2 linked regions of the Cricetulus griseus genome follow. The protein of the gene in region 1 interacts with the protein of each later gene in a pairwise test. Links are inferred from orthologs where the notes say so. Each region holds a gene or a part of one and is shown in the gene's direction. Other genes may lie near its edges. The genes, in order: Syt4 and Nbr1.

What was found.
Region 2: the proteins of Syt4 (region 1) and Nbr1 interact in binary tests that used the Homo sapiens proteins (3 or more experiments, as listed by UniProt). The two-hybrid records come from large-scale screens. The link is inferred for Cricetulus griseus from reciprocal best matches to the Homo sapiens genes SYT4 and NBR1.

Annotation. Positions count from the first base shown.
Region 1 is NC_048595.1:205,845,277-205,860,879, forward strand, and holds Syt4 (synaptotagmin-4), read left to right. Parts: upstream 1-2,461; coding exon 2,462-2,495; intron 2,496-5,492; coding exon 5,493-6,307; intron 6,308-7,789; coding exon 7,790-7,910; intron 7,911-9,154; coding exon 9,155-9,462; downstream 9,463-15,603. UniProt on the Homo sapiens protein: Synaptotagmin family member which does not bind Ca(2+). Involved in neuronal dense core vesicles (DCVs) mobility through its interaction with KIF1A.
Region 2 is NC_048600.1:114,592,198-114,609,560, forward strand, and holds the start of Nbr1 (next to BRCA1 gene 1 protein), read left to right. Parts: upstream 1-1,550; 5' UTR 1,551-1,954; intron 1,955-2,156; exon of another isoform or gene 2,157-2,308; intron 2,309-5,741; 5' UTR 5,742-5,807; intron 5,808-6,300; 5' UTR 6,301-6,314; coding exon 6,315-6,416; intron 6,417-10,789; coding exon 10,790-10,852; intron 10,853-11,576; coding exon 11,577-11,595; intron 11,596-14,112; coding exon 14,113-14,135; intron 14,136-16,097; coding exon 16,098-16,292; intron 16,293-17,363. UniProt on the Homo sapiens protein: Ubiquitin-binding autophagy adapter that participates in different processes including host defense or intracellular homeostasis.

The DNA of each region.
Region 1 (15,603 bases):
ATCAGATTCCATACTAAATTAAATAAAATTAACTGAATAAATAAAACAGAATAAAAATCAATGAGTTATCAATTAAATTTACCTGAATTTTTAAAATACTGAGTTGAATTCAAGGGTTTTGGTAATTGTTTCTCAGAGCATAGTATGTGAAGGCATTTGCAGTGCAAGTAACTGAAGTAAACACTGTCGCTGGGACAGAACCTTCTGCTTCCCAGGACTGGAATTGTTTGAGGTTGTGTGTTTTGGGTGGTAAAAGGGTGGTTACCTAGCAACAACCCCTCCTCCCTTGTCTGTGCTGCAAGAATCAGCTTGGGCATGTCAGTAAATTGATTACTAGTTTTCTAGATCTGAAAGAACAATGCAATAATGTGGTAGGGCATAATTCTTAATCATAAGAAACTTACAGGTTTTTCTCATGGATTCTACTCTTTATCTGATGTTGCTTGAAGCTTATCTGGAGATTGTATAAATGCTGAAGTGGTATTTATCAAATGAAAAAGAAACTTCAGATTTTGATGGACATTTATTTTCAGTTTTCTCTTGAAGCAAGCAATGAAATAGTTACAATACCATCAGCTCTGGGCAAGTGGTCATTTTATCTCACTGAGCTCTCTGAAACAAGGCAGCACACAATGGGTTGGGTTTTGGAGAAATACTGTTTATAAAATCTAGACAGGTTTTATACACCATTTTACCATCTGAAGGCATAGTTAATGAGGTACTAATTTTTATATAACATACACAGAATATACTTCTGTTTATAGCAAATGAGCTTAGCCATATGTTACAATAACTTAGATGGGAAACATATACTTTAATGCAATTTACATCACATAATCAGATTACTTTGAAATGCATCACAAATAAATGCCACTTTCGTCTAATGGAGCAATTCCACTGGTGAATGCATAGGGCTGAGAAGGGAGGAACTGCCAATGATCAGATTAGTTAGGACACTACCACAGACACTGCCATGGGAAAATTACAGCAGAACTTAGTTTCTGTGTTTTCATATTACGAGTATGTAAGGTTTAAAAAACCAGTTATTCAAAGAATGCTACAGTGCCAAGTGTGTGGGAGCTGGTAGAAAGGGAAAGAAAAGAGGTTTTGGCTTAGAAAATTTTCCATGATGCAGAGGGCTGAAACCAATGTCTCCCCAGACACATTGCTGACGCTCAGGCAGCTGTTTGCCAGTGTGCAGACACCCGTCTTATGTACAGTAGTTTTCTGAGACATCTCATGCCTCATCTTCCTTTAGCACAGCAATACTGAATTTCATTTTATTGAATTTCAGAGCAAAAGACATTGTACATATCTGTGAAACATTAAGTAATAGATGCAAGTCATAGCTGTATATTTCTTCTTTACAAATCTGCTCAGTGTTTGTTTTAGAGAGTAATACTCTTAAGAGTCAAATTAATCAAATATGACAGCATATTTTTTCCAGATCTTCATTCCAAAGAATAGCATTCCTTTGAAAGTAACTGGTAATATTATTTCAGAATTTGGTCCAATTCTTGTAATTTGTTTGCAGAAACCTACTTAGAAGATAGGGACTTTGGCTGTAAATATGACCATATCAGAAGTGTCCAAATATTAAAAGTCATATCTGAGAATAAATTTAACACAGTCAGAAGTAATTCCAACTGTTTCCAAGAATCTTAACTAGGTCAAATGTCAGATACTAAAAGGAAAATAGCTGACAGACCAGAAAACAGCAGGAACACCAACCAAATATTTAGACTATAAATTGTGTAAATATGGGGAATTGTAAAGGGAACGTGGATATTTTTAATACATCAATTTGCAGTGTATTTCTCTCAAATGTGACTTGCCTTCAATACTTCACAGAATATTTCAGGGAATAAGGATACATCTTACAGTAGGCATTTGATATGGACGCTTTCCTCTCCTTACTCTTTATTTCCTTTATAAGTTATGATATTCTGATAACTAGGGCACATTTATTTTAATGTCTGTATATGATCAGGAGGATTTTGGATTAAGAATGTCAAGGATACGTTTCAGGAGGCATCTTCGCGTGTCTCTGAGCCTAACAGAACAGCATAGTTAATATCTAGTAGCCCAACAGTTAAAATAATTGGTGAGTGTGAGCTGAATTCTCAAGAGAGGAGGGGAGGGTGCCAGAAGGAGGGCGAGGAGGAGCGGCTGAAGGGAGGAGGGGGAGGGCAGGTGCTGATTTCAGCCCTGTAGCGTCAGGATTGCGTCAATTCGGGTTTCTGCCACGTCTGGAGTCTCGGAGACAAGCTTTTCAGAAGAGCCAAAACAGGAACAGGGCAGGGTTGCACACTGCTGCTAGAAAGCGCAGACCTTCCTCCAGCCCCTCCCGCTGCAGGTGCGGTCCCCGGATCGGCTGTTCCCCGGAGAGCCTTGTTCCAGGGTCTTCCCAGGTGAATCTGCCTGGAGTTCTTCAGCACCTCGGACAGAGCACGCAGAAAACATGGCTCCTATCACTACCAGCCGCGTGGAATTCGGTGAGCAAGTTGCTGAACTTGGGGCTGTGGCTGGGCTCGGGGCTGTGCTGTGCTTTGCTCGCCACTGGATGTTGAATATGTATATTTTCAAGTAGCTAATTTGAAAGGAAGACGGGAACGGCAGATGGTTAATTGTGGCTTACTTCCTTTTCTCGGTAGCTTTCTCCTTAGCATCGCCTTCTGTGATTTCACCTTCCAGAAGTTCCCGAATGTTCACTCAGCTCTGTAAGCCAGAGCTGAGGAAGGACAAGGACATCTGTTGTTAGAACGCTGCTTCATTTATTTTCTGGATGATTCCTATTTGTGTGTAAATCTTTTAAGGAAAGCCACATACTCTTTTGGTTACATAAGAGTTCCGTATGACATAAAATAACTTGTATGTTGATGATTTGAGATGAGTATTTTATTACACTGTCATAATTTTCTCTGCTAGGTGTTCTTGTATCCCTGAAGTATGTTTCTAATGATAGACAGAATTCTGTGATAGCATAGTTCTGGGGAGTTTGAAATCAAACTGTCTTTGGCCTGTTTCATGTCTCTGGCTGAGCTTTCTGGAGTCCAGTGCTGTACAGTTAAGTAAAAGCTGCTCAAAACTTGGATTAGGATCCTGCTTTCTGAATGGCTTTTCCTGTTCGTATTCCAAAATTTTGTCTCTATGGTCTCCTTGTCTGCTTCAGTAAATAAACTAGATGTGACTTTTAGAAAAGCAATTAACAAGTCTAGGTTCAGTTATATTCTATTGGGAAAAGACCAGGGTTTTTTTTTTTTTTTACCTATAAGTATTTTTTAATTAAAGGATGGAGAAATATTTGAATAGTATCTCTAGATGTATCACAATTATGATTACTCAGAGTGGTATGGCATAATCTCTGCTCTCAAAAGCTACAGTATCAGTAGTTGCATTAGCAGACTCTGAGCCCATGTTTTCTTGGATGTTTTGAATGTTAGAGATAATAAAATATGCATAAATGATTTTATCAGCCTTTCATCGTTGGTTGTATATGTGTGTATGATACACCCAGTTCTTGATTTGAAACCAGAAATTTTCTCATAGTGAGGCATCTTCAGAGACTATCCTTGTGAACATGTGTTCATCCCCAGTTGTCTGTCTACTTAGAAAATATTGATTTCACTGGCTTTTATTGTTCTTCTTGTATTGGCCGAAGCATTTCTTAGTTCCTGAGTTTGCTTTTGCTGCCTTGCCCTGAGTTATTAGATTGTGTGTGTATATGTGGGGCACACAGAGATTTGAATAGAAGGGAAGAAGCTGATACTGTTTAGCTGATTAACTCTTCTTCTTCCTCCTCCTCCTCCTCCTCCTCCTCCACTCCTCCTCCTCCTCCTCCTCCACTCCTCCTCCTCCTCCTCCTCCTCCTCCTCCTCCTCCTCCTCCTCCTCTTCTTCTTCTTCTTCTTCTTCTTCTTCTTCTTCTTCTTCTTCTTCTATAGTATTCACATTTACTTTTTTCTGTTTAGGAGACTCTCATATTTACTTCATTTTTTTTACACTATTCAATTTGGTCACACAATTAAGTTATAGAATTTTTTATTGCTGCTTTATTTTTTAACCTCACATATTTCTGTTACTGTTTTTCCATTTGATTTCTTTTGAGTTCATTTTTATGATTATGAAGTAGATGGACGGAATATTCAGGAGATGAAGAAGAGACATAAAAAAGAATCGTCTTCTTGGTCTTAGACAGTGTTAACCCTTTTGGGGCTTGGACTTTTATGTTTAGTATTCACTATTTGAAATAAAACATGGATAGAATAGAGCTAAATGTGCACAATGTGCTATACTCACTTTATGCAAAGATTTACACAGTGAAGCACTGCTTCACTGTGAGATGTGGCAGCACAGTTACCAAATAAATGTTACAAGAATCTGCTTACACATGAAATGATACATGCTTCATGCACAATCACTGTTGGCATGTCACTTGATGACAATGATTTAATGTGCTTGAAGTTAAGAAAACAATGCCATTATCAATTTTATCTCCTTTTGCCATATAGAAATAGACTAGGGCAGAATTGAACTCTAAACTGTCTATATTCACTTTTCACTCACATTTTGGCAATAATTATGGATTTAATGGCCATTATTCTCTTTTAACTCACATGGAATACTTTGTGCTTTGGATAATTCAGGGCTTGAAGAATTTTAAGTTCAGAATTGCAAAGGGATTATAATGTTATAATTATAAACTATTATCAAACTATTGTTTTTCTTTTACTCTTTTTTCTCCTTATTAATAAATGTTTGCCTCTTTATCAACCCCACAGTTGGAATAAAAGTTTAATGGATTTGTAACAATAACAAATGGCCAGGGTGCTGTTTTTCCCATAATTTTTAGTTGTATAGATTACTGTATTTAAGTGTTTCTTTTTCTTCTTGAATATTGGGTGAATAGAGTTATATTAAGATATCATTTTAATATGAGTTTTATTAGAGATGTATTAAAATAGAATAGAGATATGGTAAACTATACTTTTAATATGAGTTGTAATACAGATGTATAAATGTCCTTTTAGTGAGTTTCTCAATATTTGCTGGTTATTATGTATACAAATGTATATATGTATTCATAATTAGTAGATTGATGCTTTTGGAAAGCTTCAAAATGTTAATGAAAAATAATGAAAATGGTACTTCCTCATATTATTGTAGTTGACTCATGATCAAATAAAACTTTGTTTTATTAAGATAAATAAGTGAGAATATTAAACATGACCCCATGTTTGTTCCAGATACACTTTCATTTATTTATGAAAATCTATGGAAGTAAGGAGTTTTAAATCATATTTCCTGTGTGTCACATAGGTCTATGTGTAACCCTCACGTTAGTGGGAAACATTACGATTACTCACTCCCAGAACTGTGGGGAAGTAATTCAATATTCCTCTCTTACAGCAAGAGCTTTATTATGATCTTCCTGCAGTCTCCCATTTCTATTCTGATGATTTAATGTGTGTCATTGGTCATTTGGTTTTTCAGATGAAATTCCCACAGTTGTGGGGATCGTCAGTGCATTTGGCCTCGTCTTTACCGTCTCTCTCTTTGCTTGGATCTGCTGCCAGAGAAGGTCATCTAAGTCCAACAAGACTCCCCCATACAAGTTTGTGCATGTGCTCAAAGGAGTTGATATCTACCCTGAAAACCTAAGTAGCAAAAAGAAGTTTGGAGGAGATGACAAAAATGAAGCTAAGAATAAACCAGCTGTGCCAAAAATTTCATTGCATCTTGATCTGGAGAAGCGAGACCTCAATGGCAATTTCCCCAAAACCAACCTTAAAGCTGGCAGCCCTTCTGATCTAGAGAATGTGACCCCAAAGCTCTTTACAGAGAGAGAAAAGGAGGCTACTTCCCCTGAGAGCTTGAAGTCCAGTACTTCCCTCACTTCAGAAGAGAAGCAAGAGAAGCTGGGGACACTCTTCTTGTCTCTAGAGTACAACTTTGAGAAGAAAGCATTTGTGGTCAACATCAAGGAAGCCCAGGGCTTACCAGCCATGGATGAGCAATCTATGACCTCTGATCCATACATCAAAATGATGATCTTACCGGAGAAGAAGCATAAAGTGAAAACCAGAGTGCTGAGGAAGACACTGGACCCAGTTTTTGATGAAACCTTTACATTCTACGGAATTCCTTATCCCCACATCCAAGAGTTGTCCTTGCATTTCACAGTTTTGAGTTTTGACAGGTTTTCGAGAGATGATATCATTGGAGAAGTCCTGATCCCTCTTTCAGGGATTGAATTATCAGATGGAAAAATGTTAATGAATAGAGAGATCATCAAGAGAAATGCTAAGGTAATTCTTTAAGCATTTAAAATATTTATAAGGAATCTTTAGTGTAGGTGTAAAAAAATACATGTTGTTTTCATTCAAATGATGAGTTGGTACACATTATCCTTAATTACTGTAGGTGACAGCAAACAGAGAGCAAGAGAACAGAGAAGGCAAATGGGAATTTAATACACAACTGAAATGCTCAAGAATCTTAATGATATAAAGTAAAAGGCCATACTTTATGATATTTATACATCATTTATGTAAAAGGCATTTAAACTTCCTATTAAAGTATCTTGAAAAAGACTGCTACTTTAAAATTCATGGATATGTCTCTTAACATAGGTTATCAAAAGTGTTTCAGGGCCAAAGTAGCAGAATTTAAAAGTGAAGTAAAAAATTAAAGTAATCCCTTCTCAGGATGTGGAGTTTGAATGCAATGTGGAATTTGAATGAAATTGCTTTTGAACAAGGGGAAATCCTGTTATGCCCATTTATGAATGTCCATTTTCCTGCTACATAAAGGAAGTGAATTACCCTGCCTTCCTACTTGTACTACTTGGACAATTCTTGGATGATTAGAAAATGATATGACATCAATTGGGGCCCATTAGGTTCAAAGAGCTCCTTGGTTGCTTTTCACTCTTTGTTGTTCCTTTTGGTAGAGCTGCTTAGTTTTAGGTGGTCTTCCCCAGTTATAGGAATATAGCTATATATTCTTTTTTTGATACATTTTTCTTTAGCTGTTCTTAAATATAAGCCAGCTCCATGTTACTGTTTTGTTAGTTTTAGTTAAAGCTTGCACTTTGCATTCTTAGTTGTTTTAGCTAATGTCTTTAATATAAAATTAAATATAAGTAGCTTGCAGTGAAGGAATCCATGTTACTGTTCAAAAACAAGTTCTAAAACTTGAGCCAATTCTCTCCGATACTTAAATTCAATTATATTCTCCTTAGATTGAGAAAAGACTTTGACTATGTAGGACAAGAATTCTAACTCCATTATGATTCTGGTCCAGAATAGTGGTTGGATGAAGAATACGTTTTCTTTTGCTTGAATTCAAATGTCAATAATGTCAGAATTTAAACTAAGATAAAATATCAGCCATGTGATCCTACACGTATCAATGGACAGTATTATGTATTCTATTACTGTTAATAACTTAAAAGGTTAAAGATATCCTTAAATAGCAGAAGTCAAAGTAAAAAATCTTGGGAATATAGTATAAACATCCTTCAAAACATGTGTAAGTACTGGGTGTGGTCAAATCCTGGCAAATTTTAGCACTATGTAGTACCTAAAACAACCACAAGATGGCAGGCAATGGTTTTAGTCATTATAGGACTGCACAAAAGCGTTTTCTCAGATTCCTTAGCTTGCTTAAATAAAAATAAATAGGAACATGACATTGAAATAACAAAGCTATTATGGTACTGTATGTTTTGTGACAAGAGTACAAAAGCCCCAAACGAAAACTGTGTCTACTGTATTGTCTTTGTTTAGAAGTCTTCCGGACGGGGAGAGCTTCTGGTCTCTCTCTGCTATCAGTCCACTACAAACACGCTCACTGTGGTTGTCTTAAAAGCACGGCACCTACCGAAGTCTGATGTGTCTGGACTTTCAGGTGAGAATGCCTCTGAAACCCCGGAGTTCTGTCTATAACTGGCTACTATGTTTCACAAACATTGTGGACTAACACTGGACTATTGTTCTGACATTCTCAATCATGAGTACTGGGATTGTCGATTTTTGTTTCCTTGCTTTGTGGGAAAAATTTGAGTCAATTCTGCCAACAGTACAGGGAAATTCATATGCCTGTAAGACAGCGTTAGTGAGGAGGGAACATTTAAGTGAATGGCTTAAAGCAGAAAGCAATGACATATGAAGAGGAAAAGACAGAGCTTAACATTGCTCAGAAAGAGAGTTTTGAACTTTCGCGTTTCAAATGACTTACTCATTCACTCTTTGGTGAGCTTATTTGTTTCTTTTAATGACATATATATGCTTTAAGAATTAAATTTTAGTTTTGAATAACTGAAAAATCAAAATGTTTGTTGTAGAATATTAGAAAGAAAATAAGCTAAGTTACAGGTTAAAGACATCTTAATTAAAATTTTCACCCTTCCATTTCTTAGTATAGTATCCTCTTCATATTTCTTAAACATTATAGAAATTGGGCACAGTAATACTTGAAGGGCATTTTGAAAGCTAGAAATACATATTTTAATAAAGAATCATCAAGTGGTATTATCATTATTTGATTGTAGAAATTGAAGACAAGTTCTGAAAACTTGAGATCATGAAGATAAATAACATATATACTGCAATCAAAAATAATATAATATGTGATGAAGTTACATGATTCTAAACCCATTTAGTAAGAATGTCACAGGAGTGATCAACTCTGGTAAACTGAAAGCAAATTCTGCAACTGGCTAACCACCTGCAGAAAAGCTAAAATGCAGGGCATGACCAGTATGGTTTCCAAATCTCTGTTCAACAACAGTGGCAGCCACCAGGAGCCAGACTCCCCAAGAGCATAAAATCAGCAATCCCAGACACTGCCTTCATCTCACTTTCTGGTATTCGTTGCTAGGAGGCAGTATGCAGCACCCCTTTTTCTTCCCCCTTTGTTTAGTCCTTCTGCTATTACGGTTCCTTCCCTAACATCAGATCTGGAACTGGTTTTTAGTCTCCATCATTTTCAATTTTATGATTAACAGAAAGGTCAACCATATCCACACTTCCTATTAATTTATACTTGTTTATGTTGGAAGATACTCACTTCCACCGTACTGAAATGTTGTCTCCTAGGTTGGATCTGTAGCTAACTGTTGACAATTTAACACTTGTGGCATGTCTTTGCAGATCCGTATGTCAAGGTGAACCTGTACCATGCCAAGAAGAGGATCTCTAAAAAGAAGACTCACGTTAAAAAGTGCACTCCCAATGCAGTGTTCAATGAACTGTTTGTCTTTGATATTCCTTGTGAGAGTCTTGAAGAAATAAGCGTTGAGTTTTTAGTTTTGGATTCTGAACGGGGATCCCGAAATGAGGTCATTGGGCGGTTGGTCCTGGGTGCAACAGCAGAAGGAAGCGGTGGGGGACATTGGAAGGAGATCTGTGACTTTCCTAGGAGACAAATTGCTAAGTGGCATATGCTCTGTGATGGGTAGTTTCCCTGCCATGATTTTTATTAGGCAAGAAGCAATTTTCTTTCTTATACATGATTATAAGCTTGTGGCACAGCAAGCTACTTTTATTTATTCATCTGTCTATCTATCTATCTATCTATCTATCTATCTATCTATCTATCTATCTCTATTTATTTGTTTTGGTTAGAAGTGGATTAAATCACTAGACCAGAAAACAGTTGTAAATGTGTATCTTGATAATTTCCTCCTTTATTACAGGTGTTGGCTAAATTTTCATTAGATAATCAGTTCCCCTTTGTGTGGTCTTAAGTGGGCCAACCAAGCCTGTAATGAGCTTTCTAGCTTAATCTCAAGTCACAGGTAGGTGTGTGTTGTAGATGATGATGTCACTTTTGCCTTGGTAGTGGAAGTCCAGGTGATTGTTAAGAGTTCAAAATGAAAACCACACCTTTTTGTAAGAAAATTAACCCATGTCCCTTCATGTTGGGTAGATAAGGTTTTATTTAAATCCAAAGATATTTCAGAAATGTCCTCAAGTCTGTTTTCTAGTTAGATATGTCATGTACAAATGGTTGTCCTATATATCAATGATATGCTGTCATTTCCATTTGGTTTGTAATTATTTGATACAATCTCATCATAAAAGGGGTAGCTTAGGTTCATTTCGCAAAGACAGCAAACACATTGAGAAATTAATTTATTAAAGGGCTGAATTGAAGAACACTGTGGTTGCAATGAGATTTTTTGTTCCCTAGGATCACAAGTGAGTCATGTAAAATGTAACTTCACATAAGAACCATGGTCTTGAATTATTCACTGCCCATTACAAGCCTCAGTGTGGCCTAAGATACTCCTATTTACCTTTGTGAAGCTGTCAGATTATCTAGTGGATAAAAATAAACTTAAGCTAGAAATTCAGCTAAGAATACAGTTTTTTATAAAAATCTCTCAGTGTACAAGTGTATTTTCAAGGCTGTCTTTCCCTCTCAGAGAGGGCATGGCTACCTAAGTCTTTAACTTATTCTTTTCCAGGAAGAACTAAGTTACTTTGAAAGAAAATGTGTTAAATTCTGTGCATTGTCAGGTTGAGATCAACCACGTCAAGTAAAAAGACTAAGACAAGAGAAGAATAATCCTATCAGCATTTACAAATATTCACAAAATATACTTAAGCTGTAAAATTAGCGCAGACATTGTGTTCTGCACTATCTTTGGAGGCCAATTTGTCTTGAGCAGTTATTTTTAAGATAGTTTAAAGAATCATGTCTTGTGCCAGTCCCAATTGCTAAGTTCTGAAATTCTTGCCAAACTTGTTCAAGGCAAGCAGAACTCTAGCATTCTCTGGGAAGGCTTAACTCGATGGTGATGTTTTTCTCTTTGAGCTGTTAGAGAGTCATGCGTGTGACTTAGGTCCAGCTGAATTATTAAATATGCAAGTTAGAGATAATGTCTTCTGGAAATTTTACCCTTTGAGTCAAGTTTTGTGTCAGTGCTTTAGCCATTTCTGAGAATGTGTTTGCTATCACAGTGTTTGTAAATTCAATGGAAATGTATTTCCAAACCACTTGTCTGTGCTTTTTATGACTATGACAAAAGTCAAACTTTCTGTAAGGAAATGTATTTCATTCTGTGTGTACAAAGATTGAAATCAACCTCTTTTATGCTTTTCCCACACTCATTGTCACCCAGTGACAATGTCATCTCCCGTCTCTGTCTACTCAGCAGTCTATGAAAACAACATGGAATGAACTGCAGTCATGTGGAATCTGGGGAGGCCAGAAGGCCTTTGTATGTCTGCACATTTGATGTCATAGGCCATGGAATGTAGGATAGCTTGGAGCTCTAATGTTATGAGACATCATTTCCAAATATCCTACAAAGCGGCAGGAAGTTATGGTGATCCAATTTATAGGATGTTTATTGGAAAAGGGTTTTTTTTTTTTTTTTAAAAAAAACTAGGAAACAAGTCTGACAACAGATACTTTTAAAATCACATTAAATTGTTTGTAAATAGTTTTTAGTTTCACAATTTAAAGTGTTTTGAAGGTGATAAGTTGGTTGCAACTACTTATAACTGGTTTTAAGGGACAAAAGAGAAAAGCAAGAGAAAAGAAAAGCGAGAGAAGAGTTGAAACAGGCAGGGAGTTAAGTGATCCCATCATTTCTGAAAACTGTACTGTTTATAATGTATTACAATATCAATGTGAATATCCAACTCTGCTACAATTCCTGCACTGTATTAAACATGTAAATTAATTTATTGTCTGCTTAGCCAGTCTCACCACCCGGTAGGGAGGTTGCCGTGTCTGAAGAACTGTGTGATTCAGTAGCTGACTTGTTCTGACTTGTTGTAGTGCAGTAGAAGTGATCTGGAGGGAAGCATGGTGTCAGGAAGATGGTGTCTGTTCTTTTGTGCCAGCACTGTATGTTTGTAAGACATGAATAAACCGCTGCTTTTGCCCAAACAACCTCTGTTGTAAGTTTTATCTATTGCTTTCTGAGTTTCTCTTTTTCTGATAGACCACACACATAGGTTAGGGAGCACTGGAGGCCGAGCAACAAGATCTACATGTTTGGAACTATGAATTTTGCCTAATTTTTGACAGTCATCTCAGGCAGATGTGCCTAACCTAAAGTGAAGCCCGGTTCTTAGGGAACATAGGTACTGGACTCAATGGTACATACACAGATAGCTCAAGGTTTCTTTTGGCATTCTTCACTCCTGCCTCCAGCCTATTTCCCTCTCATCAAGGGTGGGGACAGGCAGGAGTTTTGTCAATTGGTTTCACTAGATTCTTCTAGATCTCAGGACACGGTCTTGGTAGCCCAGGTTAATGTTAGACTCACACTCTTCTTGCTTCAGTCTCCTGAGTTCTGTGGTTTCAGAGGTGTACTGCCATAGGCAAAGATACAGTCTTCATATGGACAATTCTTTATTGTTATCTTTGCAGTGAGGGATACTGAATCCACATTCTTATTCATGATAGGCCACTTCATTACCACTGTATATCCCTAGCTCTTTCTGCTAGATTCTTTTTTAAAAATTTGTTTTACATCCTTACTGCATTTTCCTCTCCCTCCTCTCCTCCCATCCCCTCCCCCTCCCTCCCCCTCCCTCCTCTCCATCCCTCATCCACTCTTCCTGTTTCTGTTTAGAAAGGGGAAGGCCTCCCATGGGTATCAAGTTGAAGTAAGACTAAGCACCTCCACTTGTATAAGGCTGGGTGAGGTAATCCAGTATGAGGAATAGATTCCCAATAACCAGCCAAAGCATTAGGGACAGTTTCTGTTCCCATTGTTAGGAGTCCTACAAGTAGACCAAGCTACACAGTTATCACATATATGTAGAGGGCATAGGTTGGTCCCGTGCAGGATCCCTGGCTGTTGGTTCAGTCTCTGTGAGCTCCTATGAGCCAGGTTAGTTGATTCTGTGGGTTTCCGTGTAGTGTCCTTGACCCCTCTGACTTCTATAATCCTTTTTCCCCCTTTCGTCAGCAGGATTCCCTCAGCTTGGCCTAATGTTTAGGTGTGGGTCTCTGCATCTGATTCTATCAGTTACTGGGTGAAGGCTCTCTGATGACAACCGGGGTAGTCACAATCTGATCCCAGGAGATGGCCACTTCAAGCTGCCTCTCCCCTATTGCTGGGCATCATTCTGCTACATTCTGAAAGGAGCCCCTGCTCATTTAGGTTTTTTTTTTTTTCTATTTTTATTTACTTTCCCACATTTTGATGTTTTTTTCTCAACCATTTTGGTTCCCAATATATTTTTACTTGTTTCGTTCTCTTTATCTTATTTCAGGTTTTCTTGACTTATTTTATATAACTTCTTTGTACTATTTTGAATCTTTCCCGAATCCTTATACTACACTATTATTAGAATAGCAAAACAGTACAGATATATTTCATTTTCGAGAAGGAAAGAAAACTTGGGGTAGTGCAACAGTCCCACCGGGTAAATAATAACAGTAAGAGCCTTGAGAATCAGATACCTTTGGCAGTATTGACCCATGTGAAAGTGTGCTATGGTGTTCATATGTGGTACATTGTTCTTGTGAATAGAATGCAGCCATAAAGGACTGACTTTTTTGTTTTTTTCGCATTTGTTTCTTTTTTTTCTTTAAATTAGAAACAATCTTCTTTTACATGCCAATCCCAGTTCCCTCTCCTTCCCCTCCTCCCCTGCCGCCACCGACACCCTTTCCCATCCCCTTTCTGCTCCCCAGGAAGGTTGAGGCCTTCCATGGGGGAATCTTCAAAGTCTGTCATATCATTTGGAGCAGGGCCTAGACCCTCCCAAGTGTGTCTATGCTTAGGGAGTATCTCTCTATGTGGAATGAGATCCAAAGTCCATGCTTATACTAGGGGTAAATGCTGATCCACTACCAGAGGCCCCATAGATTAAACAGACCTCATAATTGACATCTATGTTCAGGGGTCTGGATCAGTCTTATGCTGGTTTTCCAGCTATCAGTCTGGGGTCCATGAGTTACTCATTGTTCATGTCAGCTGTTTATGTGTGTTTCTCCAGCCTGGTCTTGACCCCTTTGCTCATCACTCCTCCCTCTATGCAACTGGGTTCCAGTGTTTAGCTGTGGGTGTCTGCTTCAGCTTCCATCAGCTACTGGATGAAGGCTCATGTTTGTCTTTTTTGTGACTGGGTTACCTCACTCAGGACAGTTTCTTCTAGTGCCATCAATATTCTTGTGAATTCCAAGATTCTGTTTTTTCCGATGAGTACCACATTTTCTTCATCCATTCTTCAGTTGAGGGGCATCTAGGTTGCTTCCGGGTTCTGGCTATTACAAATAATGCTGCTATGAACATCATGGAACAGATGTCATTGTGTGAATGTGCTTCTTTTGGGTATATGCTTAAGAGTGGAATTGCTGGATCTTGTGGTAGACTCCCATTTTCCTGAGGAACCGGCATACAGATTTCCAAAGTGGCTGTATGGGTTGGCACTCCCACCAGCAGTGGAGAGTGTTCCCCTTTCTTCACATCCCCTTCAACATAAACTGTCCTTGGTGTTTTTGATTTTAGCCATTCTGTCAGGAGCAAGATGACATCTCAGAGTTGTTTTAATTTGCATTTCCCTGATGGCTAAGGATGTTGAGCACTTTCTTTTTTCTTTTTTCTTTTTTTTTATTAGTTCAAATTAGGAACAAGTTTGTTTCACATGCCAAACCCTTCTCCCTCTCCCTCGCCTCCCCCCACCTCTTTCCCCCCACCCTCGACCTACCTCCCCACCCTATCTACCCTCTGCTTCCCAGGCAGGGTAGGGTCCTCGACAGGAGCTCCCTAAAGTCCACCACATCATCCTGGGCCAGGCCTAGGCCCTTCCCCATGTGTCCAGGCCAAAAGTGCACCCCTTCACGTGGGATGGGCTCTCAAAGTCCCTTCTTACACCAGGGAAAAATGCTAATCCACTATCGGGGCCCCCTAGAGTGCAGAGCCCTCCTCATTGACATCCATGTTCAGGGGTCTGGATCAGTCCTGTACTGGCCTCCCAGACAGCATCTGGGGTCCATGTGCTCCCCTTGTTCAGGCCAGCTGTTTCTGTGGGTTTCACCAGCCTGGTAACGACCCCTTCAATCTTCATTCCTCCCTCTCTGCAACTAAGTTCCAGAGTTCAGTTCAGTGTATATCTGTGGATGTCTGCCTCTGCTTCCATCAGCCACTGGATGAGGGCTCTAGAATGGCATAAAAATTAGTCATCAATCTCATTTTAGGGGAAGGGCATTTAGGTTGTCCTCTCCACCAATCCTGGATTGTCAGTTCGTGTCATCCTTGTAGGTCTCTGGAAGTCTCCCTAGTGCCAGAGCTGTTCTTGGACCTATAATGACTCCCTCTAATATGGTATCTCTCATCCTGCTCTCCTCTATTCTTCCCCCAACTCAATATTTCTGCTTCTCCATTTCTTCCTCTTCTCCTGCTTTCATTCTGGCTGCTCCCTCTCCCCTACCATCATGCTCCCAATTAGCTCAGGAGTTCCTGCCCCTTCCCATTTCTGGGGTCCATGCGTTTTTCCCTTAGAGTCCTTCTTGTTTCCTAGTTTCTTTGGTGAAGCAATGTGGGAAATTACCAATATGGAGCCACGTAGAAATACAAGGGATTTTAATAGGGAAAAAAGCCTTACTTACTGCCCGTGTGGCAGCAGTC
Region 2 (17,363 bases), on another chromosome or scaffold:
TTTAGTGACTAAGGTTCCTTGTCACGAGACAGGCATCTGACCTCTAATTGACCAAGGCAGGTTTATGGCAAGCACGTGTTCGGCTGTTATGGCTGCCAAAAGGGAAGCCGGTTCCTTCAGCTGATGGAAGCAGAGACAGACATCCACAGATATACACTGAGCTGAAATCGGGAATTTAGTTGAAGAGAGGGAGGAATGAAGAAGGAAGGGGTCTGTACCAGGTTGGAGAAACCCACAGGAACAATTGGCCTGAACAAGGGAGAGCACATCGACCCCAGATGCTGTCGGGGAGGCCAGTACAAGACTGATCCAGACCCCTGAACATGGATGTCAATAAGGAGGCCTCTGCACTCCAGGGAGCCTCTGGTGGTGGATTAGTATTTTTCCCTGGTGCAAGAAGGGACTTTGAGAGCCCATCCCACGTGAAGGGTTACACTCTGGCCCTGGACACATGGGGAAGGGCCCAGGACCAGCACAGGAAGATTTGGTGGACTTTGCAGAGCCCCTGTTGAGGGCCCTACCCTGCCTGGGGAGTGGTGGGTGGATGGGGTGGGGGTAGGCTGGGGGTGGGGGAGGAGGGATGGGGTGAGGGGAGGGAGAGGGAGAAGGGACTTACATGTGAAACAAGCTTGTTCCCTAACTAGAACTAATAAATAAATAAATAAATTAAAAAAAAACAAAACTAAAACCAAAACAAACAAATGGAAAGAAACGCACTTTTTTTTTAAGTCACCAAATGCAAACACTAACACACTAACACTGCTGACGCTTCTCCACCCTCCCCCTTCTGGCACTTAGCCTCAAGGCAGTCTTTGAACAAGTACCCCTGCCGACAGCATTCATTACTACTATTGGCATTCCTTTGCGTGAAATATACATGGATTTCCCTGCCACACTTCCGCCCTCCTTTCCTCTCATCCTTCAGCCACCATGCTTACACTGCCTTCTCGGCACGACCACAGCCAGGACGCCCCTTCTTTCCTCCCTAGCCTTCTTCCGCACAGCTGCACCCCCCAGGAGTCCTTTCAGTTTGGTCCCGCCCCGGGCATTCTCCTACCTGGTAAACACCTGTCTCCGCCTGCAGTTTCCCGCCCTTCACTCGACTACCGCTAGGTTCCTCAGAGCTGTCTCACCTTCACCCCGAGCAAAACGTCCGTGCTCCCCAGCCCCTTGGCCCAAATCCCGGGAAAGCCGCTCGGAAAGCACTAGGTCCCGCCGCGGCACCGGCGCCCGCCGCGCAGCCGCAATGACAATTTATCTGTAATTCCCGCGCTCCCGGTCGCCTAGGAAACCGGCCGCTTGGCGGCTAGCGCCGGCCTCTAGGAACACAAGATCCAGACACGTCAGCGGAAGGGAGAGGAAAAAAAAGAGGTGGACACTCTTTCCGGGCTCAGGATTGGCCACCTGGTCTCTCCTTGTGTGTCGTAACTAGAAAGAGACGGAAGAGAAAGAATTTTGAGTTTCCTATTAGGCAGCCGCCCCCTCGCATCTACGCTTGCTTATTACGTCACAGTAATTGTGTACAAAGGGTCGGGATCGCTACCCAAGGCCGGAAGATGAGCGCAAGGTAGTGAACAAAGCAGTTGCAGAGTCCTCATCCCTCCCTTAGTCTTCCTGCCATGGAAGTCTCCAGTTTAGGTAAAGAAAGGATTATGTAAAAAGAACTACCAATTCCAGCATGCATTGCGGGACGAAAGGACTTCTCCACCGCGTCCCTTGGAAACTGTAGTCTTAAGGGAGAGGCGCTTCCAACACCGGAAGCTGGCGCGATTACCACAACAACCTAGTTAGTACGGCGGAAACCTCCTCGCGGTTATGCAGGTCAGCTGCAGTACATCGCAGCGTTCTGTTTTCATGTCTTGCTCACAGAGACTAGACTGAAAGAAGCTGCAAGTCCCAGGAATACTACAATTCCCATCCAGCCCCGCGATTCTCGGGTAACTAGTTCTCCAAGGTCAGTGACCTCAGGGAAAGCAGAGGGCGGCCAATGGGCTCGGGAACGGGAAATCCGCTCCGCTGACATCTACGCACTAGTTCCGCCCCTCGGCCTGGGTGTTTGTTATTGTTGTGCGGTTCAGACAGCTTCTGTCCCGCCCCTGCCGACGCAGCATTGGCCAATCGGTGCAGCGGTGGTTTTGAGGGACAAATAGTTAGAACCAATCGTTTTGTCGGAAACTCAGAGAAACATGGGACTGGGCCCGGTCTCTGTCCGCCATGTTAGATTCACCCCGCAGGGATAGCAGCCGAGCTGGCAGCGAACGGTCCTTGCACTGGCCACGGGCAAGCGCCCCCCGGGGGCGGAAAGCTGGTAAGGAGGCCGCCGCTGTTACCTACGAGTGGGGTCACGTCGTTCTTAGAGGTCTCGGGGAAGTTCAAGGAGAATCTTGAAAAGAGCAGTGACTTTTTTCCGTGTTCAGGGCAGCCAGTCCTTTCAGGGACCAGATGAGAGAGCCGCTTGGGTTGTCAGCGACAGTGGGGTGTGGATTCTGCTTGAGGGAGAGTCTTCATGGCTTAGAAAGGCCAGTTTCTGCTAAGAGAAAGTCGAAATCCCCCAGTACCAAAAGAGGGGCCTCCGGTGGTGGTGACACTCACTGTCCCGGGGACATGGAGTTCCAGGAAACGATTGCTGGAAGACTAGGACTAAGTGTGTGAGAAGAAGGGACACACATCTTCCTCATTCTGAGCTTTCCTCTTTTTGAGACTCTATTGAAGGTATCTTGATCTAGAACCTTCCGTGTTTAGAGAGGCATCGTTTTCCCTTTTTGTCAAGCACCCAGCTTTCAGATCACCCATTTTAAAGCTTAGGCGGCTTTAAACCTCTGGTAGACACAATAGAGTTCAGATTCCGAGATTCCCTATATTAATATTATTTGTCGACGTTGGAAAAACATCCTATGGGGAAAAGCTGACTTTGTCACATGAGTGTGAGTCAATGAGGCATGCGTTTACAGTGCCACTTAGGAAAGCTGCAGGCTTAGGCCCGGCCACCTGACCGCTGGCTGCAAAACAATAGGTAATATGTGGGGTTAACTGTACCTTTGATATTTTCACAAGTTCAACATTAATGTTCTGCCTGAAAGAATTTTCACACGTAAGTCACAGTGAGGTCCGGCCTTTATGAAGACCTGAATATTGGCTAGATAAACTAGACTCTCGCTTCCTGTTTTCTCACATTGACAGAGCAGCTGGATGAACTCCAAAGTATGGAAACTAATTCCCACTCCTGTCATTTGAGAACAGGGAAGATTAGTTTCCTTCCAGACAGAACTGTGTGGAAGTGTATTTCTTGAAGTTGGAAAGTGCGAGTGTATTTGGGAATTTTTTCTTTTTTAATTATCTTTATTTTGTGTGCATTGGTGTTTGGAACTGGAGTCACAGTTATGAGAAGCCATGTGGATGCTAGGAATTGAACCCGGGTCCTCTGGAAGAGCAGTCAGCGTTCTTAACCACTGAGTCATCTCTCCAGCCCAACCTCAGAATTTTTTCTTTTGGCAAACTCAGTCACTTCATTTTCCTTATTAAAAACAAACAAAAACAAACAAACAAACAAACAAACAAAAACCTAGGGTTGGTGGGATTCTGCCTAAATTTTAAAGATCCTAAGGAAGAATTGCATTTTGGGTAAATGTATGAATGCAGGATGTCCACAGGATTGATGCTAGAGACTATAGCTTTGACAGTGAACTTAACTCTAGATGAAGACAAGTCATGGAAAAAATTGGATAATTGAGTCTCTAAAATAATCTGTGATTAAGAATACTAGGTTCTTGGGTGGCAGTGACACATGCCTTTAATCCCAGCACTTGGGAGTCAGAGGCAGGCAGATCTGTGAGTTTGAGGCCAGCCTGGTGTACAAGAGCTAGTTCCAAGACAGTCTCCAAAGCCACAGAGAAACCCTGTCTTGAAAAACCAAAAAAAAAAAAAAAAAAAAAAGTACAAGGTTCTTAAAATGACAGTTGTACAGTTGTATCCACAGTGCTGAACTCTGGAGGCAGATGCGGACAATTCTCTGGTCTACATACATAGCAATCCCCAGGCCAGCATGGGCTACAGAGTGAAACCCTGTCTCTCTCCACCCAAAACAAAGTTATAATAGCAAGGTAGAAGCTATCTTAAGGACCTAAGGAATTGTTTCTTATGGTAATAATTTTCATATTTGAATACTATTTGAAAGAATCCTACATACTTTGTGGTACTGGAAATGGCCCCTTATCTTTGCACATATGTGGACTGGTTCCTTACTCCCTGTCCCTAGACCAAGGTTTTATTAGATCCCTTTGATAACATTGTTACTGTCAGCAGAATAGTCTTTGTTTTACATATTAAATGAGTGAAGCTCAAAGATAAACAGTCTTGCTCACAGTTGCACAGCCAATCTTGTGGTGGAGCTGTATCTGGGACCCAAGTGTTTGCACCCTATTGGCTCCCTTCTTTGACATTGGAAACATCTAGGACTCAAGTTCATTTCTTGTTTGTTGACCCGAATATGGCTCTTTCTACATGCAGATTGAAAATGAGATGAATATTTTAAGAGGTGACATTTTTTTGCCAGTGTCTATTGCTTGTAGCTTTAAACAACTTACACTATTTTTTTCCTAAAGTCACAGTTAACCAGTAAGCAAAGTCTTTCCTTAAATCAAATAGGTTGTTTTTTTTGGGGTGGGGGTGTTTCAAGACAGGGTTTCTCTGTGTAACAGCCTTGGCTGTCCTGGAACTGGCATTGTACACCAGGCTGGCTTCGAACTCACAGAGATCATGCCTGCCTCTGCCTCCCAAGCACTGGTATTACAGATGTGTGCCACCACTGCCCGGCTAAAATCAAATGGATTTTAACAATAGGCATTTGATTAAAAAATTGCCAGCATCTTAGGCATGATCATGATGGGTTTTTTCATTTTTCTCATTTTATAAGTATTTATGGAAGAAAGGGTGAATATTTTGTCAAGAGAGACATAGAGCAAGGTTGTTGCATGGTGGTAGAGTACCTTCCTAGCTTCCAAGCCCCTTTGTCATCTGCTCAACACACACACACACACACACACACACTCTCTCTCTCTCTCCCTCTCTCCCTCTCTCTCTTACACTAGAAAGGAAGGAATACTGACTAACAAAATTAGCTCCTAGTTGCTAATTGTGGAAGCTGATAGGTCCATGAGGACTCCTTGTGTTACATTCTTTAATTTTGTATAGCTTTTTCCACAAGTAATAGAAGTTTGTTGTTGTTGTTGTTTGGGGTTTGGGTTTTGGGGGGCATTGGTGTTTTTGTTTGTTTGCTTGCTTGTTTTCTGTAGACAAGTGCTCATTGTAGCCCAGACTGTTCTTGAACTGACTACCTAAAACTGCTTCTGTTGCTGCTCCCAGAGTGCAGACACCTTGTCTCTGTTCTCTATCTTGTTGGCTTGTGCTACAGATAACAACCAAACACTGGAAAATGCAGAGAAAACCTTATAGACTTAAGGTAGGGGAGTGTCTGTAGATATGTCCAAAATGTGGATTGTTTGTTTTCAAGACAGGGTTTCTCTGTGGCTTTAGAGTCTGTTCTGGAACTAGCTCTTGTAGACTAGGCTGGCCTTGAACTCACACAGATCTGCCTGCCTCTGCCTCCCGAGTGCTGAGATTAAAGGCATGCGCCATCAACACCCAGCACAAATGTGGATTTTTATTACATTTTTATCATGAGACTTTTATCTTCCCTCCCTGCTCTACACCTCTTTTAAAGACAGGGTTTCCTTGTTTTCTAGACTGGCCTAGACTCTTGGACTCCAACTACCATCCTGCTTCAACTTCTTGAGTAACTGAGACTACAGGTGTGTGACAATGTGCATTTTTTTTCTTTCTTTCTTTCCTTTTTTTTTTTTAATCTTATTTTATGTGCATTGGTGCTTTGCCATGAGTGTAGGGTCCCCTAGTAGAATTACAAACAGTTGTGAGCTGCCATGCGGGTGCTGGAAATTGAACCCAAGTCCTTTGGAAGAGCATTCTTAACCATTGAGCTCTTAACCACTGAGCCATCTCTCCAGCCCTTGACTTTTATTTCTAATGTGTAAGTTCTAAATAAGTTTAACTCTGTAGCATAAGCACACATCTTTATGGCATAGTGTCTTTATTTCTGAGAAAGAGAAATCCTTATGTAACAGTGAGATTTGATGTATAACACACTAATAGATAGTAAATCATGTAACAATAGGGACATTGTTTCTCTTATTCACTATGATCTCCCAAATCTAACATATATTAAACCTAATGTGTGTCTGTGGGTTTTTAATCCCTTCCTCTTTTTTCAACCATTCATTTTCTCAGCCCCACATCACAGCATGGAACCACAGGTTACCCTAAACGTGACTTTTAAAAATGAAACTCAAAGCTTTCTGGTTTCGGATCCAGAAAATACAACTTGGGCTGATGTTGAAGCTATGGTGAGTATCACTTTGTTCTGTTTTCCAGGGGTTAAAACACAGTCTTTTAAAATGTACCTATTTTTAGCAGTTCATTTCATAACTGTTAAGTTTGTCATCATTACCATTTCTGGATATTTTGAAAAATAGTTTTTGACAAGGGTTCAGTATTTGTATAAGACTTGTACCAAGATAAAGAGAAGAAACAGCTTTGTTCCTTTAAACATTTTAAAATTACAGGGGAAATTTCAGGAGTTGGTTCTCTCTTTCTACTGTATAAGTCCCAGGTATCAAACTCAAGTAAAATTATTAAGTGAAATAGAATTTAGAAACATACTTTAGAAATAGTCTGAGGGATAAGTTAGTGTGTCCTCCACCCTAGCCAGGCTGTAGGGGAATGTTGTCTGGCTGGAGAGTAGATGCATCGCTGCTGTTTGTTAACTGCCAAGGATAGGACTAGTATTTTGCAAGACCTGCCAGTTGCTTTATTGCTGGGTCAAAGGTTGGCTATCTCAACATTGGCAAAAAGCACAACAAAACCCCATGGGTGTTTTTGCTCATAGTTTCTCTCATTTGGCTTGCCCTTTGTACTTTTCTGCTTTCATTGGTTTGCCTTGGTCAATGTTTTACTATTTGGGCACCTGTGTTTAATGTAACCATTTGGTTACAAACATGTCTTGACCTGATTATCTGTGTGGGTAGCTTAAAAAGGAAGGAGATGTTAGAGGGACCTTCCAGTGTGTTACATTCTAGTCCCCTGCATTCCCCAGATTCCGCTCTATCCTTTGCTAGGCAGATGGTTATTGGGAAAGCAGTGGGATCTTTGAAAGTGATCTGAACACCAGTTACCTTTCTTTCCCTAGTAGCGGGGTGTGTTGACAGCTTACGTTTGTCTTTTATTGTAAAAGTTTAAGTTATAAAAGTGTAATACACGCCCATTATAAGGCATGAAACAATCTTAACATGTAAGGAGATAATGTCTGTCCACAAACTTCTATCCTGTATCTGCTATCCATACCTCCTTTAGATAACGGGAGGTAACTGAGTACTTCCCCACATTTCCATGTTCCATGTTCATGCAGGTATCGTGCTAGGGTCATAGGAAACACTGTTCTGCAGGTTGTTTTTCTTGCCCAACAGTATATTGTAGCCATAGTTTTTAATCGGCAGACACAAAGCAAAGCTCATCTTCTTACCCTATGAGTCCACTGTGTTGCTAGTGTTGCTGAACACTGTGGATGTAACTGTTACTGGTTGCCCCACCAGGGTTTTCTTTGTTTGCACATTATAAAATAGACAGGACCTGCATCTCTCTATATGGATAACTTATGTATTGTTCTATAGGTACTTTTATGTGAGTTCAGGTTGTCAGGCTTTTGTATATTGTATACAACAAATACTTTACTGTGTAAGCCATATCATTAACCCTGACTTTTAAGGGTTTTGGGGGGTTTTGTTTTGGTTTTTTTTGTTGTTGTTGTTGTTGTCACAGTGACAATGCTCTTTTATTTAAAATACTACTTAAGAAGCATAAGTCAATGTAAAAATGTAACAGTTGTTTATTAGAATGGGATTTGACCTAAAATCCATTTCATAGATAGAGATCATGGCTAAGGTGTTTTCAGAGGTACCTTGAATGCTCATTGAAGAGAAAAGTAGAAATAAATCCTACAGTTAATAAAATGTTCCAGTGATCACTAATCCTGTGTCACTTTTTTTTCTTTTAATTAGAAAGAAAATTATTTTACATGTCAATCCCAGGTCCCTTTCCCTCCCCTTTGTTTTGTTTTGTTTTGTTTTGTTTGTTTCTCTGTGGCTTTGGAGGCTGTCCTGGAACTAGCTCTTGTAGACCAGGCTGGTCTCAAACTCACAGAGATCCACTTGCCTCTGCCTCCTGACTTTAAGTTTTGATAGATAATGCCTAGGGAGATGGCCAGGTGTTTAAGAGTACTGGCTGCTCTTCCAGAGGACCCAGTCTAGCAGCCAGATGGCAGCTCACAACTATCTCTAACTGCAGTTCTAGAACATCCGATGCCCTCTCCTGGCCTCTGCAGGCACCAGGCACACACCTGGTACCCAGATTTACACGAAGGCAAAACACCCATGTGCATAAAATAAAATTAAAAACATTAGTGGGCTGGGCAGTTGTGGGACACACCTTTAATCCCAGCACTCAGTTAGACAGAAGCAGATGGATCTATGTGAATTCAAGCCAGGCTGGTTTACATAGCGAGTTTCAAGACAGCCAGAGTTGTTACATAGAGAAATCCTGTCTGGAAAAAGAAAAGTTAGGGAATATTATTTTCAGGTGTGTGACTTTTGTTTATGCTACATTTGTTTAACTCTGTGAATCTGTGAGTCTTTGTCTAAAACACCTGATGGTTTAATAAAGAGCTGAATGGCCAATAGCAAGGCAGGAGCAAGGATAGGCGGGACTGGGCTCAGAGAGTATAAATAGAAGGAAACACAAAGAAGTAGCCAGAGAAGGAGGAGGACTCTGGGAGCCAGTCTCCCAGCTACACAGCAAGCTTAGGATAAGAAACAAAGACAGGTATACAAGAATTGAAAAGGAAAAGCCCAAAGGCAAAAGGTAGATGGGATAATTTAAGAAAAGCTGGCAAGAAACAAGCCAAGCTAAGACTGGGCTTTCATAACTAAGAATAGGCCTCCATGTGTAATTTATTTGGGAGCTGGGTGGTGGGCCCCTCAAAAAGCCGAAAAACTAAAAAAGCATCACACACACACACACACACACACACACACCAACAAAAAAATTTTAATGGATAACTGCCAAATATTTTACAGAATTATGACAGTACACAGAAAAAAAATGATTGGATGCCTTGAGTTTTGCTTTGTATGTAGTGCTGGGGATCAAACATGGGGCCTTCTACATGCTAGACAAGCACTCTGCCACTTAGCTATGTCCCTTGCCCTGAATGTTTTGACATAAGAAAAAGTTTACCATCTGAACCTGCTGGCTTGTCTATTTACACTGTGTAGCAGTGAAGTTGAATGTTTTTATGTATTGGGCATTCCTGTTTCCTCTTCTGTAAATTTTCTGCACATTGTCACTTGTATTAATCTTTTTTTGGTCTTGTTTTTAAGTTTCTCTGTGTATCTCTGGCTGTTCTGGAACTATGTAGACCAATCTGGCTTCAAAGACACAGAAATCTGCTTGGCTCTGTCTCCCAAGTGTTGGGAGTAGAAACTTAAAGATGTGTCCTACCACTGGACTATTGGAGTATCAATCTTCCTGTCAGTTTTGATGATCTTTTCTGTGTTTGCAGTTATTACTCCCTTATCTGTTACCACTTGCAGATATTTTCTCTGTCTGTTTTCTTTGAGTTTGTAGTAGTTGTTTCTTTATTTACTCTTTATGTACATTGGTGTTTTGCCTGCGTGTGTGTCTGTGTGAGGGAGTTACATACAGTTGTAAGCTGCCATGTAGGTGCTGGGAATTGAACCCAGGTCCTCTGGAAGAGCAGCCAGTGCTCTTAACTGCTAACCACAACCTCTGAGTTGCTTTTTAAAACTGTATTAAGATATTTTGCTGAGCTAGGCGTTGGTGGCACACACCTTTGATCCCAGCACTCGGGAGGCAGAGGCAGGCGGATCTCTTGAGTTTTGAGGCCAGCCTGGTCTACAGAGTGAGTTCCAAAACAGCCTCCAAAACAATATAGAGAAACGCTGTCTCAAAAAACAGGTGTTTTGGGGCTGGAGAGATGGCTCAGAGGTTAAGAGCTCTGACTGCTCTTCCAGAGGTCCTGAGTTCAATTCCCAGCAACCACATGGTGGCTCACAACCATCCATTATGAGATCTGGTGCCCTCTTCTGGTATGCAGATATACATGGAAGCAGAATGTTGTATACATAATAAATAAATAAAATCTTAAAAAAAAAAACAGATGTTTTGCTGGGAATGTACTTCTCATGCATTCACAAAGCCCTGCATTGAAACCCTAGCATCACAAAAAATAAAAATAAGGGGCCAGGGAGTGGACTCCAAGGGTTAAGCCCTTGCCATGTAGATATGAGCACCAGCTCTTGGTTTCCCAGCACCTATATAAATGTCAGGTGGGTGTTATGCCCTGTCTGTAACATGGTACTTAAGCCAGCCTACATAGCATATCCTGGAAGCAGAAGCAAATTGTTTAACTAGGCTAGCCTAATTGGTGAGCTCTGGGTTCAAGAAATTCTGCCTCACTCTGAGTTGCGTGGGCTGATACCTGCAGGCTGTAAGAGCTGTAAGGGCTACATAGTCTTGGAAAGATCCACACTAAACCACCCCCTGCCCAAAAAGGGAAAAAAAGAGGGGGGGACTAAAAAAGAACAAAGTTAAAATATTTAATTTTATATACTGAGATACACTGATCCATTTGTTTCATTTGCAGGTAAAAGTTTCATTTGATCTGAATACTATTCAAATAAAATACCTGGATGAGGAAAATGAGGAGGTAAAGTAACTGTGTGCCCCCTTCTAAATATTTAGAATAGGGATCTTTTCCAGAGTGATAGAGTTTCAAAAGTTCAGAATATAAAGTCCATTGTAATGGCTCACACCTGTATTTCCAGTACTTGGGAGACTGAAGCTTGAGGATCCTAGGAAGCTTAAGGCCAACCTGGGCTTTAGAACATTAGATTGTCTTAGAGAGCCATAAAGGAAAGAGGTTCAGAATAATGTTATCTCATTCGCCTAATGGTTTAAATATACTTGATAATCCTGTACTTCATTCATGACCATTATGGCATCTGAGATGGAGCTGAGACATGGGAAAGCAACATGGAGAATATCAGAGAGAGAAGCTAAAACTGTAACAAGGCTATCATTTAGTTTATGATGGTTATGCTAATAGGAGCTCTTTGCTAAGTGGTTAATGCATCAGACTAGCAGTGCTGTATCGGGTATCTTCTTTTCATCATGAGGAAGCAAGAGGCCCTGAGAGATGAGAGATCTTACCCAAAGACTTAAAAGTAATGAAGTAGGGGCTTCAGATCCCAGGCTCCTAGCCCTACACTGTCCTGCCTGTTACTGTCCCTAAGATAAAACAGCACATTATTTAAATAGTAGTGGAAATGCTAAACACCTGAGCTGGGACTTGGCCATGAGACTGGCCCTAGTTAACATAAATGCTCAGGTGATGAGACTTAGCATTCACCATTTCCTTTTTCTCTTCATAGGTATCCATCAATAGTCAAGGTGAGTTCCTGAGAAAAATATAGTCAGCTATACTTCACATTTGCCTGACATGGTAAAATCTGTCTGCACGTCCAGTACTGAGGAGGCTGAGGCAGGAGGATTTCAGGTTTAAGGGCAATCTGGGCTACATAGTGAATAAAATTTATCTGCTCATTGAGGTGTTTCCATTTCAACTATGTTTTGCTCAAGCATTCATTTTTAGAATAGAATTTGGTGTGCTGTAAATTGACACTGTACCATGGGCATTAGTTTCATAGATTTTTCTTTTTTTCTTTTTTTTCTTTTTGAGGCAGTCTCAGGAGGTAGCCCTGGCTGGCTTCAAACTCGGTGTGTAGCCTAGGATGACCTTAAACATAAGATTGTCGGGGCTGGAGAGAGGGCTCAGTGGTTAAGAGTGCTGGCTGTTCTTCCAGAGGACCTGGGTTGTATTCCTAGCACCCACGTGGCGGCTCACGACTGACTATAACTCCTGTTCCAAGGAGTCCAACACCCATAAACAAAAAACATGCCGGCAAAACACCAGTGTACATAAAAATAGAAATAAAAATTATCTAAAAAGAAAACATACAATTCTCCTGCATCTACCTCCTGAATATTGAGATTACAGTTTATGCCTCTACCCCCACTTTATGCAGTACTAGGAATCGAATTCAGGGCTTGGTGCAGGCTAGGCAAGCACTCAACCAGTTCAACTACATACCCAGCCTCATAAGGGATTTTTATTGTGTAACTTAAAAAAAAAATAGAAGATAATACATTTGCATGGACCATAAGGACGGGTGTTATCCAACTTTATATTTTAAGATGCTAATCCTCTGAAAATAATATACATCTTGTTCACCACATATAATTCATTCTGCTAGCGTTGCATTTGTTCTGACCTGGCACATACGTGAATTTCAATGCATAAGCAAACTATGTTCCCATGTTCATCAGATGGTTGGTTATGGTCCATAGTTTAGTCCCTAAAGCCTTATTTGAATCAGGTAGCATGATAGTCTTAACACAGTCTGGAACCCCACTGAATCTTGTACTTCATAAAGCCTGGTTAGAGGAGCTGGGTTGATTCTTGTATTGAGAAGGCTAGAGCAGCACAGAGGGACTAAGAGGAACTTGCTTTGTAATAGCTTCTGTGTGCAGTGGGTAAATTGTTACTTTCACTTTTCCTGGAGAGACATAAATCAATGTCCAGCCCTACCAGGTAGGCACCAATAACAGATCAAAACACAATCTCACCAAAGTCCAGCTTGGTGAAACCAGTGAGTTTGTTGGGCCTTCTTGTAGAGCAGAATTATGTATAGGAGTGTGGGCAACCCCCACCCTCCCAACCCCCCACCCAACAACAACTACATCACTTCTAAGTCCCACCCCTTCATATTTTGCAATCTCACTGCATCGTGGAGTCCTGTTTTTAGCCATCCTTTCACTTTTCTAAATAGGCTGGCATCTCTCAAGACCATTTACAGCTGGGGAAAGGAGTTGGAATCTCAGGCAAGGGTCTCTGGACACCTTCGTAGAGTACCAATAGCTCCATTGCAAGAGTTCTGGCTGCCACTGTATTGTGCTCTGGTTGTCATAACTATGTGGGGAGAGACCAAGAATGTTACAACCAGAGGGAAAAGCACCGTACAACAATAAGGGAGTTTGTCTAGCAAAAAGGTAGTGACTATCCATATGTAAGAATTATAAGAATTTGAGTAGGATTGGGTTTACTTTTTAAAAATAAACTATTTTTTCCCAGCACTCCGGAGGCAGAGGCAGGCGGATCTCTGTGAGTTCGAGACCAGCCTGGTCTACAAGAGCTAGTTCCAGGACAGCCTCCAAAGCCACAGAGAAACCCTGTCTCGAAAAACCAAAAAAACAAATAAATAAATAAATAAATAAATAAATAAATAAATAAACTATATTTTTAAGATGTATAACATTGATATGAAATACATATCAATAGCTTTAAAAACATGTTAGTTCAATGAAAGAAATTAAAAAGTGTCATCTCACAGTTGCTACCCCCACACCCTGCCTGCCACTTCAGGGTTGAGAGTAGCTGAAATCTATAGCAAAATTCTTAAATACAGTACATTATTGTTAACTGTATTCTTCATGTTGTAGAACTAAAGTACTAGCTAAGTGTTATGTTGCCCTTCTGTAATCACAACACACAAAGGATTGTTTAAAGCCAAAGCCAAGCAGTGGTGACGCACGCCTTTAATCCCAGCACTCAGGAGGCAGAGGCAGGCAGATCTTTGTGAGTTCAAGGCCAGCCTGGTCTACGGAGCTAGTTCCAGGACAGCCTCCAAAGCCACAGAGAAATCCTGCCTCGAACTCCTCCCCCCCCCAAAAAAAAAAAAGTTTGAATCCAGCCTGGGCTACATAGCTGGGTCCCCACTCCCCACCCTCACCCCCCCCAAAAAAAAAAAACAAAAAACTGTAGAATTGATAATAGGCAATGGAATCTTTAGGACTGGTAAAAATAAGTCACTATTGTTTTTCTTTCTTTTTTTTTTTTGGTCCTTTTAGAAGAATATGAAGAAGCACTTAAGGTAATGTTTACTTCATTTTATTTTCAAGTAATTTTAAAAATATTTATCGAACCCTAATCTCCACTGGAAAGTCATCTGTTTTGTTAGGGAGACTGCTGTGGAAGTGGTCATGTGACTCAGCAGCAGGCAGTTCCTAATAGAGTTCAAGTTGTTGTCCTCTCATTGCTGGTCTTGGTGCCACCATCTCACCATTTCAAAAGAAGCCCTGGGTGTGGAGCTATACCTCTAATGCCAGCACTCGGGAGGCCAAGGCACCTGCACCATTGAGTTCAAAGACCACTAAGGCTATTCAGTGAGTTTGAGGCCAGCCTTGGCTATGTGGTAAAACTGTGTCTCAGAAACAAAAAGAAATGGCAGGAGGCTTGTTTGAGCCTAGTTTAGGGATAAGTTGAGCAACAGAAGAAACCAAAATATTGCTGTGCACAGATCTAACTCAGGACCTCGTGCATGCTAGGGAAGTGTTCTATATCGCATCCTAATTAGGACAATGAACTTAATGAGCTAGTTCATCCATCAGTTGACATAGTTACACATGGAGTGTTATTTTAAATGGAATCTTAAGTCTATTGTATAGGAAAACAGCTATGAAAGGGGGGTGGGGCTAGAAACCTAGCCATTTGATCCCTAATTTTTCTTAAACACTTAAGTTCCCTCATCGAAGCCAAACTACTTCTTGACAGAATTTCCAAAATATATTATTAGGAAGATGCTCTTCACAAAGATACAACTACTTAAGCTTGCTTTGTAAAATACGAGGTTAGTGAAAAGTAAATGCTTAGCTATCAGGAATAGCTTTAAGTTTCCGTGATTAGTGTTAGTCTGGAATTGATTTTTGTTTTTTAGAAAGTTGAGATTAGAGTTAATATAGAACAACCAGTTAAAAGCCGGGCATGGTAGTACGCACCTGTAATTGTGGTACCTAGGAGGTAAAGCAGGAGGACTTTGAGCTGGAGGCCAGGAGGGCAACCCCAGACAGACCCCCATCTCCAAAACAGACAAACCAAAAAAATGAAAGGAGAACCTAGTTAATGGAAAAATCGAACCTAGAAATTTCCTCAGCAAGGCATTGGTGGCTCATGGCATTAATCCCAGGCAGAGGCAGGTGGGTCTCTCTGAGTTCGAGGCCAGCCTGGTCTACGGATAGAATTCCAGGACAACCTCCAAAGCAATACAGAGAAACCCTGTCTCTCGAAAAAAGAAAAGAAAGAAATTTCCTCAAACCTTAACACAATAAAGCTATTTATAGTTAATATTCTTGACAGCAGGCTAGATGATAACATGGAGGTTGACACTATCCAAAGTTCTTGGAACTTGATGTGTGTCTATTTTAATTTTTTTTTTTTTTTACTTTTGGATATTTGTACATTCATAATGAGATATCTTAGGAATGGGTCCTAAGACTAAATTTGAAATTTGTCTCATTCTTTACATAGTCTGAAGGTAATTTTCTATAGTAGTCTTAGTATAGAATATTTTGATTACTGCTAATCATAAAATGCCAGGTGCTAATTTTCCATTTGTGGCATCATGTCATTACCTCAAAAGTTTAGGTGCTTGACCTGTTCTTTTAGAAATGCAAACAAGGGTCTAGAGAGATGCAGAGGTCAAGAGCACTGACTGCTCTCCCAGAGGTCCTCAGTTCAATTCCCAGCAGCCAAATGGTGGCTCACAACCATCCTTAATGAGATCTGGTGCCCTCTTATGGTGTGTAGTCATACATGCAGACATAATGCTGTATATATAATAAATACATTTTAAAAAAGAAATGCAGCTGGGCGTTGGTGGCTCATGCCTTTAATCCCAGCACTTGGGATTAAATAAATAAATAAATAAGAAATGCAAACAAAAGTCATAGCATATTTTACTATGCTTCTATATGTCCATGCTTTGACATTTCATTTGGAAAAAGAGAATCACGGTGTATTTTTTATTTTTTAACATGCTCTTGTAACATGTTTCCAGATGGCTAACATTAAGCAAGGAAACCAACTACAGATGCAAGTCCATGAAGGGTGCCATGTGGTAGATGAAACATTCCCCCCAACTGTAGTAGAAAAACAAGTGGCTGCCAGGACAGGGAAGAAGCCTCTTGCACATTCTTCACTGGTGAGAGTCCTAGGATCAGATATGAAGACCACAGAGGAGCCTGCAGCACAGGTATGAAGAGCATGGCCCTATCTGTCCAACTCAGCCTTACATCTCATTGTCCCTATACCATTTGGACAGTCATCAAAGATTTGGGCCAGGAGGCTGGGGAGGTAGCACAAGAACCTGAGTTTGATCCCCAGAATCTATGTTGTTTGTTTGTTTGTTTGTTTAAAACCTTTTTTAAAGGGAGTTGGAAAGATGACTTATTAGGTAAAGAGGTGGTGTGCAGGCATGAATACATGAATTCAAATCTCCCAAATTTACATAAAGCCAGGCATAGCGTTATGTCCGTAACCCTGATGCATCTGTAATCCAGTGCTCCTATGGCAAGATGGAAGGCAGAGACAAGAGGATCTCTAAAAGCGCACAGGCCAGCTAGCTTGGCATGTGCAGTGGTGACCAAAAAAAGAGAGACCCTCTCTCACAAAGTGGAAGTGCCTGTATTCACATTGAAGAGCCAGGTGTGGTACATATGTGTGATATCAGCACCAAAGAGGCAGACACAGGAAGATCCTTTATGGTTTACAGGTCGGCCAACCTAGTTGGCTGTTTCTAAGCCAGTGAGTGACTGCCTTAAAAAGAAAACCGGGGGGTGGGGGGTAGGGGGGTGGGAGTGAACAGTGCCTGAGGAATAACACCCAAGGTTGTCCTCCAGCCCCCACATGCATGTACACTGCATACACACGCACACAAGAGATCGGGTCCTATGTCAGTCATCTGGATCTGAACCTTTGAAACTGGCAACCCTGGCTTACTTCTAGAGAAAGAGAAGAAAGTAGAAAACACTTTCCAACTGTAACCTTTTTTTTTTTTTTTTTTTTAAGATTTATTTATTGCCAGGCATTGGTGGCACTCGCCTTTAATCCCAGCACTCGGGAGGCAGAGGCAGGCGGATCTCTGTGAGTTCGAGGCCAGCCTGGTCTCCAGAGTGATTGCCAGTATAGGCTCCAAAGCTACACAGAGAAACCCTGTCTCGAAAAACCAAAAAACAAAAAAAGATTTATTTATGTGCTGGGAGGTGGTGGTACACACCTTTAATCCCAGCACTTGGGAGGCAGATGCAGGCAGATCTCTTGTGAG